Oryctolagus cuniculus: one gene and its partner. The protein of the gene in region 1 interacts with the protein of each later gene in a pairwise test. Links are inferred from orthologs where the notes say so. Each region holds a gene or a part of one and is shown on either strand. Other genes may lie near its edges.

What was found.
Region 2: the proteins of SHTN1 (region 1) and FABP3 interact in binary tests that used the Homo sapiens proteins (3 or more experiments, as listed by UniProt). The two-hybrid records come from large-scale screens. The link is inferred for Oryctolagus cuniculus from reciprocal best matches to the Homo sapiens genes SHTN1 and FABP3.

Annotation. Positions count from the first base shown.
Region 1 is NC_091446.1:13,376,521-13,381,017, forward strand, and holds the start of SHTN1 (shootin-1), read left to right. Parts: upstream 1-1,498; 5' UTR 1,499-2,079; coding exon 2,080-2,137; intron 2,138-3,394; exon of another isoform or gene 3,395-3,440; coding exon of another isoform or gene 3,441-3,444; intron 3,445-4,497. UniProt on the Homo sapiens protein: Involved in the generation of internal asymmetric signals required for neuronal polarization and neurite outgrowth.
Region 2 is NC_091438.1:140,999,058-141,003,564, forward strand, and holds the start of FABP3 (fatty acid-binding protein, heart), read left to right. Parts: upstream 1-1,601; 5' UTR 1,602-2,287; coding exon 2,288-2,360; intron 2,361-4,507. UniProt on the Homo sapiens protein: FABPs are thought to play a role in the intracellular transport of long-chain fatty acids and their acyl-CoA esters.

The DNA of each region.
Region 1 (4,497 bases):
GGTTCAATTATCGATTTGACAATTCACTCATTCTTAAACTCCACTGATATTTCCCAACTACTGCATAGTAAGAGTGGACTCTTGAATCAGCCATTTGACAACTGGAGCTTGTGAATGAATCTGTATATACAGTAACAGCTCTGCTGACACCACGCAGAGTGTGAGAAGTGACTTCTGGTTTGGAGGGGCTCCTCCGCACGGCCCAGCCTCAGGACATGTTGGGGTTAGCAGGTTTCCTGGCTCTGCCATACGAAAGCCAGGCGGCCATGATTTATCAACTAAAATGTGTAGTGCAGCATCTCAGATGCATTTTTTTCATACCGGTGAGTCTGAATTGCGTCGTGTTTCCCAGACCTTCTCTCAACTCTGCCGACTAAGATTTGATTCCAGATGTGATTCCAGGGCAACTCCTGGGGCTCTGCAACCAACCTGCACCGTCCAGTGGAAACTCGGGGAGAGGACGGGTTAACAAAACCCCGTGGAGGAGTACTTGGAAAGTTTCAACTTTTTTATTCACTCTATTTTTAAAAGGTTGTTCATTTAGATCATTCTGCCACTGAGTCACTGAACGGCCATTTCCCAAAAACAGAAAACCAGGTTTTGAAACTTCTTCTGAGTTGGTATTTGGTAATGAGCACCAGAAGGTTACCAGATACAGGATTTACCAAAATGCCGCCCCTGCCTCTCCCGGGAAGGTCAGACACAGTCAGTGGAGCTGGGCCTGTGCACAGGGAACAGCTGAGGGCCGGCAGCACCGTGCTGGTGCCCTGTCCAGCTGGGGAGAAAAGGCAGGGTGTGCAGAAAGTCCGACTGAGTCTGGAATTGTTTGAGATGCTTAATGAAGAACGCAGAACTGTTTCAGCTTCTGATTCTCAACCACAACCCTGTTCTTGCAGACCTGTGATTTAAAACAAACAAACAAACAAAAACCACAGGTTGTGCACCAGAGAGCTAAGCTGCCACCTGCAATGCTGGCATCCCATGTGGAAGCGTGGTTCAGTCCAGGGCTGCTCTGACCCAGCACCTGCTAATGCGCCTGGGAAAGCAGTGGAAGATGGCCCACGTGCTTGGGCCCCTGCACCCATGTGGAGACTCCTGCTGGAGCTCAGGCCTTGGGGAGTGAACCAGCTGATGGAAAGTTCTCTCTCTCTCTCTCTCCTCTTCAAACAAACACACACAAACAAACAAACCTTTAAAATAAAAAGTATTCTAATTTCTGGATTTGGTGTTGGGTTCATTATTCTCCCAGGAGAGTAAGTATCACCATTCTCACTGTTCAGATCAAAGAGTGGAGGCAAAGGTGAACCAGAAGCCAGGCCTGCCACCTCCAACCCGCTCAGGGTCCACCCCTAGAGCTGTGCGGGACCAACGCTGGGCTCCCGCCCGCCAGGCCCTGAGGCCGGACAGCTGCGTGGGCGCGGGCGCTGGGAGTGCAGGGGCTGCCGAGGTCCCCCCTCCGCGGCCCACGTCCCGTCCGAGCAGGTGCGAAGGCCGGAAGCCCGGGCCCTCCTTCGCTGCCTGTGTGGCAGTTTCAGTGGTCGGCGGCCGCCAGGCTGCCCTGGCCTCTCCCGGTGCCTGTCCGGTGTCGGCCAGAAGCAATCAGTACGACCCTGACCTTTGCCTCTGCGGGCACCTGTTTCCCAACACCGGCCCCGCAGCCCGCCGCGCCCAGCACAGAGAGAGAGGGGCCTCCCGGGGACGCCGCGGACCCCTGGGGGGCCGGCCTCCTCCGCACGCGCGTCCTTGCGCGGTCGGCGGCGCAGGCGGAGACCCGCACGCGAGGCCGCGCGCCCCCCGCCTCCTCGCAGGAGCCCCCGCGGCCACGCCCAGCCCCGGGGTGCGCGACCGTGGGCTCCGCCCCGCCCCGCCGGGCGCAGGTGGCGCGGCCGCGGGCGCAGAGGAGGTGCGTGGGGGATGATCTCACCCGTGCGCTCCGCGCCAGGAGGAGGAGGAGCGGGAGCGAATCCAACTTCCGGGTAGTGGCGCCGCACGCCAGCGGCGTCTTCGCCCCGTCTTCCCCTCCCCCGGGTCCCCTCGCCGCGCCCTCCTTTCCTTTTATTCCCGGCCCCACCCGCCAAAATGAACAGCTCGGACGAGGAGAAGCAGCTGCAGCTCATCACCAGCCTGAAGGAGCAAGGTAGGCGCGCACGCGGGCGCCAGGTGCGGGCAGCGGCCCCGGGGGCGGGGACGGGGCAGGTGGGGAGCTGGGCGGGCGGCGCCGCGGCCGCCGGGGTCTCCGTGGGGCCGGGTCGCTGCGGCCACGGGGTCGCGCCGCGGGGAGCCGGGTGCTGGTGTCCAGGCGGTGGGGCCGGCTATGCGCCGGCGGGGCTTGGGGGGCGGGGGCGGCGCGGCGGGGGTCGCAGCGGTGGGCGCAGCGGTGGGCGCGGCGGGTGTCCGGGCGGCGCGCGGGGCCTTGTACCCCCGGCCCCGGCCCCACCCCTGCCCCTGCCCCCTCGCTGGCGCACCGTGGCCCGCAGCGCCGCCTCGCAGCCGGTCCACCTTTTTCACTGGAGTCGGTCCCGTTCCTCTTTTCTTGACCCAGCTGGGGGCTTTTCAGGCCGATGTGTTTTTGTCACTTCCCATTTTTAGCAATTGATGAATCCGAGACACCCCTGCTTCCTGAATTTGCGTCGGGCTTCCTGAAAATTGCATGGGCGCCGGGCGCGTGAAAGCCAGGCCGTGCGCACGCGTCTCCCCGCCGCTCGGTCACTGGGTGTTACCCTAGGATCAGGGGCTGCTCCCATCAGTCATTTTCCTCCCTGGCCGCACTTGGGAACAAAGCCACATCAGCACCAGCCAACACATTAAAAGCGTTCCCGTCATTATTGCCCAGAGAATATGGGTCGAGATGCAGAGAGACACCTTGCAGATTTGGGAAGTGAAAATCTGCAGGATTAGGGGCCTCCCTGCGCGGCTCCGCAGTCAGGCCACGTGCCCTCTCCGGGGTCAGCTCGCAGGGCTGTGAACCTGCCCGCCCCTCTTGCCTTGTGGGGGCCGCTGTGGTCCATCAGGCCTTGCCTGGGGCGGTGCTGTCCAGGCGCAGGACCTGTTGCTTCCTCATCCCCCTGAGCCACACTCTTGGGCGTACAGATGCCCACAGCAGTGCTCGCTCTGTGACCCCGGAGAAATGACTGAGTCCCCCTGCGTGGAGAGAAGGTGCTGGGCACGCGGTAGCTTCTTGCACCCTCGCAGCACCTGCACCTCCCGGCCTAGAGGAGCCTGGAGTCGTAGTCACGCTCTGGACTTGGCAAGCTCTCTGGATGTCAGGTCTGTCCATGGACGGTCAGTTTCCAAGTAAGGGTGACAGAAAAAATACTACCTCCTTTCATACAGTACGTGGTTTCCAGGGTAGGCTGACGGTGCAGATAACCGACATGTTTTTATTTGATTTTAGAACCTGCTCTGTCTCTTGGATTTGAGGGCTGAGAAAAAAAAGGAGGATGTGTAAGTTCCTGGCTCCTTCTCATATTGGAAACCAAATCCGTGGTTTCGGTAGTTTTAGAGGGTGTAGTTCTTTGGTTACGAGCACACCAAGGGAAGAGAACGGTTAGACTTGGGAGTTTGTGTTGATTTAAAGGTAACCTCTTTTTGGAAGTGAAGTCTGGTGACACAAGTGCTGGATTTTTTTTTTTAAGCCCACAGTGTGATTTTTATACTTCTCAGAACCAGGGTGTGTGCCTGCAGCTCGTAGACTGTGATAACAACGGGTTTGTTTCAAGAGGATTGAATTGGTGTTTGATCTCTTGAACTGAGAAACTGGGGATTTGAGGTGGACAAACAGGCAGCTAGGTCTGTGGGTACTTAACATCAGGTCATCAGTTTTACCAGCTGGTGGTGTGTGTGCGTTTTGTTTTTGAAAACAGTACTTTTTACTACCTGTTAGCACTGTGTCAGTGCCACCCCCCCCCCCAAAAATGTGAATGAGAAGAGCTGATATTGATTAACTACTCCATATTCCTTTCTAAATGCTGAGTGAACTGACCATGGATGGGACTTACGTGCTAGGCCCCGCGGTTGTAGGTAGTGGGCCACATAGCCCTTGGAGTCAGCAGGTTTTTTTGTCTAGTCGTTAAGTAAACATACAAATGAATGCACAGTTACAGATTTTTTTTTATAGGCTCGAGTCTTAGAAATGGAACTGGAGTATTAGAGGGAACACATACACAGCATTTTGTGGGCATGGCCGAAGTGCCCCTGGGAGGACTTCCCAGCCGGCACTGGTTAACACTGTGTACTGGTTAACACTGGCTGCTGGCCATCCTTATTTCTGTCATAGCTTGACGAGTTTCTGAATCTTTGTCCAAAAAATGACATCTTCCAAAATGACTTGTATTGTCCCGGTTCCTGGCAAGCGCTGCCATCCTCCAGGTTTACTGGCCACGTGAGCTTCATCACCTTGTTCCTTCCTCTCTGAGTTTTAAGTCTGTAATTTGAGCCCGGCCCCCGGTGGGTGTTTCAGAGGCAGGGTCCTGCCCACTCTTCAGCGGGGACCTGACA
Region 2 (4,507 bases), on another chromosome or scaffold:
CAGGAAGGCAGGACCAGCTTGTACGTGTGGCAGGGCTGGTCAGGCCCCAGGGCTCCCGTGCCAGCTCCCGCACACTTACCCTGGACAGCCCACACTCGGTGCAGCTCAGCTTCCTTGTGGCCTCAGGTCCAGGGCCGGCTCTGTCAGAAATTCATTCACACTGCACAGTCTCTGGCAAAAATGCCCCTCCCATCCCCTAACTATGGGGGGGGGGGGGGTGTCTTTTGTTTTGTTTTGTTTTGTTTTGTTTTGTTTTTGTTTTGTTTTTGTTTTTTTTTGGACAGGCAGAGTGGACAGTGAGAGAGAGAGACAGAGAGAAAGGTCTTCCTTTTGCCGTTGGTTCACCCTCCAACGGCCGCTGCGGCCAGCGCACTGCGCTGATCCGATGGCAGGAGCCAGGTACTTCTCCTGGTCTCCCATGGGGTGCAGGGCCCAAGCACTTGGGCCATCCTCCACTGCACTCCCGGGCCATAGCAGAGAGCTGGCCTGGAAGAGGGGCAACCGGGACAGAATCCGGCGCCCCGACCGGGACTAGAACCCGGTGTGCCAGCGCCACAAGGCAGAGGATTAGCCTAGTGAGCCGAGGCGCCGGCAGTTTTTGTGTTTTTAAAGACAGAGTTACAGAGATGGGGGGGGGGGGAGATTTTCCATTCACTGGTCACTCCCCAAATGGCCACAATGCCAGAGGCTGGGCCAGGTTGAAGCCAGGAACTCCATCCTGGTCTCCCACATGGCAGGGGCCCAAGTCCTTGGGCCATTTTCTGCTCCTTTCCCAGAGAGCTGGATCTGAAGCGGAGCAGCTGGGGCTGCATCCAGTGCTGACATGGAATGCTGTGAACCCAGGCAGGGGTTTAAAGCAGTTTAACCTGCTGCACCGTAACGCCTGCTCCAGGGATTTTGTTTTAAAAGTTCAAGGACACAATGTTCTTAAGGCCCTTTGGGGTGTGAAATAAGGATCAATACACATTAACACTACCATAGGTCTTACTGTTCTGTAAATTGTCAAGTGTCAAACACTGGCACAGGCTCTTTAAGGGAGGTGAGTCCTGCCCCGAGGTTGTGGGGCGTGGGGTTGAGCCACCACCTGCATTGTCTGTATTCGGTAGGAGCCTCACTCCCACCCACCCACGTGGCAGACCTGGCTGGAATTCCAGGCTCCTGGCTTTGTGCTGGCCCAGCCCTGTCCTTGTGGCCATTTGGGGAGTAAACCAGCAGATGGAAGATCTCTGTCCGTCATTCCCTCTCTCTGCCTTTCAGATAAATCTTCGAGAAAAAAAGATAAGGGTAGTGTAGGCTGACTTGCAGGAGTGCAGAGTGCAGAAGGCAGGCGGTGGAGTCCCACAGGGTGGGGGAAGGGGCCTCGGGCTGATGGAATTGACAGCATTTCAGAAAGAGGGTGAGGAGAACAACTTGCACAAAAGCTCAGAGATCAGAAAATCTTGGAATGCTGGCAGGGCTGGGTGGGGAGTTGGGCTCCAGGTGAAAGGCACCTGCCGGGGCAAGCAGGTGCAGAGCGGGCGCGGTGCGGGCGCCGCGCCAGGTAAGGGTCATACTTTCACCCGGAGCAGGCGAGGACTCAGGGAAGCTCGGCCGCAGATGTTGCCTCCGCCGACTTCCCTGCCACCAGGCAGTGGGAGCCTGCTAGCCCAGGTTTGCAATTCCCCCTCTCCTAGGTATTCTTGTGACCTTGTCGGCTGCCCTGAGTCTCAGGCTCCTTCCTCGTAAAAGGACAGATATCTGTGTCACAAGGGTCAACCAGAGCTTTCCCCAGGGAGTACCAACCCAAGGGCGAATTTCCTTTCTCCCCCATTCTCATCTCTGCTCGGACTCCAAGCTCAGGCTCGTTGTGGAACTGTGGGGTGGAGGAGGTCCGCGGCGTGCGCCCTAGCGCGGCGTGCGTCCCGGCTCGCCGCGCGTCCCGGCTCGCCGCACCCGCTCCAGGGGTTTCCTTCTCGGATTCCCAAGAGCGCCGAAGACAGGGAAGGGCGCAAGTCCTGAGAGCCTGGGGCAGGGAGTCAGAAGCCAGGCACCCGCGCTGACGCAGGCAAGCGAGGTGCCACGGGTTTGTCCCCTCCCTCCTTGGCGGGCTGGGGGAGGGGCGGCCAGCCCCTCGCGGGTGAGCGCCAGCCCGGGGCTTCCTATTTCGGGAGCCACTGGGGGGCGTGGGCCACGTCTCATCATGTGATGCAAGGGCTATTTAAAGCGGTAGCTCGGCTAGGGAGCCGCTGCTCCGGGAGTCTTTGCACGCCTGCTGTCTCACAGCTTCTCAGCCTCGCTCACTTTCACCATGGTGGACGCCTTCGTGGGAACCTGGAAGCTGGTGGACAGCAAGAATTTCGATGACTACATGAAGTCAATCGGTGAGTGACCAGCGGGGCTCAGGATGCTGGGTTGGGAGGACGAGCCCGGCACAGCGCTCCTGCGTGGCTGCTGCCCTGTGCGCCCCGGCATCCTGCCTTGATTAAGGTCGGAGAGTAGAGGAACGCGGGGTTGGCAGCCCGGGCCGGGGAATGAGGGGCCCCCGGGAGGAGGTTTTCCTGGTCCCACCCTGGGAGAGGGCTTTCCAGGTAGGGAGACACAGGAAGGAGAGGCAGCTGTGCCTGTAGATGTGGGGGCAGGGCGGTGCTTTCGAGGAAGACCGGCAGGTGGGAGGCTGGGGAGGCGAGAAAACCAGGAGCATGGGTGGTCTGGAAATGTCAGGCGACTGAACCTAGAAAAGCAATGGGGCTGACAGAGTGTACTATGGCCTGTAGAGATAGGAGATACCCGGTAGGAGGGAGCTTGAGTTGGGGAAAAGGTGCATTGTTGAATCGGATAAGGGGAAGAGGTGAGGCCGGGATCTGCTCAGCTAGCAACAACCCCTGCCTCTCCATGTGGGGTTGGGTAAGAGGATTCTCGCTGGAGGCCCTCTTTTCTCACCGGCCAGTCTGACCTTGTCCTGCAGAGGTATGTACGCAGGCCTTGGTCACTGTGAGAGCCGTGGGAGAGCGTGGGAGAGTGTGGGAAGAGGCCCATCACCAGCTAGGGCCTTTTCTACAATCTGACGCTGAACCAATGCAGTGTGGGGGACAGGGTGGAGAAAGCCATCGCCTTCTAGGGTGCAGCAGAGGGTGAGGAGTGTTGGTCCAGGAGGCTTTGGCTTGCTGTGTGGTGTTGGGATGAAGAATAAAGACCCAAAGATTCTTACAGGCAAGAACCGTGGACATGGCTATAGCTTGCTTAGCTTAACAGAAAGGGAAACCGAGATCCAGACGGAGGAGGATCTCCTACCAATTCCACAGCTAAGCTGTTAGGAAGACCCAAGATTTCTAGATCCACAACCCAGAGCTCTTCCCACTACCCTACGGGCATTGTGAGTAGGACGCAGGGGAAGGGATTAGCGGCTGTCAGGTCTTCCTGTCCTGGTTTGGGCTTACAGCATGTCACCCTTTCTCTACAATTCCCAGCTATGAGACTAATCTAGTCCAGCAGGCTGGAATAGGGACAACTGGAATGGTGCTCATGGCTGAGCTAGGTCCATGATTTCCTCCCATGGCAGGAGGGCTGCAAAGGGGTAGGGAAGCCCACTTCCTATACCTTACACCTCTGCTCCTCACTCACTCCCGGAACAGGGCCTCCAAATACAGCTCCTGAGGCCAGAGCTGCCCCTGCACCTTCCTGGGCTCTGTGCCAGTGACTCCAGGAAGACTGCATTCTCAGAGAAGCAGGGGCCCCCGGCAGCTGTTGGGGAAGCCGGAGGGCCCAGGTTTTGTTTCTTCCCGCGAAGCACATATTAGGGCCAAAGAGCTGAATCTCTGAATTGAGTTACACCAGCCTTACTACCCTGTTCAGCTTCAGCCAGGAGCAGGTATCCCTGGAGACCTGTTCCTGGGCAGTTTCTTACGTGAGGGCTGAGACTCTCTTCAGCCTGCTTTTCCTCATTGCAGAGAAAAGACCCTCAGCTCTCGGTAAATGGCTTTGGCTTCATTTCTAAGGAGAACCCGGCTCTTCCCAAGTCTCCTAAATTCTGCCCAGTTCTTACTTTCCCACACTCATCCCATAGTGATTTTCCTCCTCAAACACTCCACACCTCTGGGCAGGTCCTAAGCAAACAGAGCTCCAGGTGCAGTGACAAGACCCTGCTCTGTGCTGGGGATTGACCAGCCTGGGTCACTTTGACACCAGCTGGCAAGGCCAGGTCCCTCACTGGCTAGGCAGCCCATCTCTCTCATTGCAGACAGACCAAGGGTTCTCAGGGAGCAAAAGTGTGGTACCAGTGACCACAAACAACTGGTGGTCTGAGTGCCTGAACCAAGAATGTGCTGGGCAAAATGACCCAAGTTTTGGAGCCTAGGTTCAAATCCAGGTTAATCAGTGACTGTTTTCAACTCAGCCAAGATACTTCACTGGGCCTCATTTATAAATTGGGGATAATAAAAGCTACCCTATAGCATTGTCCTAAGCATTAAGCAAAGCAACTCGTGGGCTCATGCAAACTACCTAGGTGCAGGATGGCATTGTGGCACAG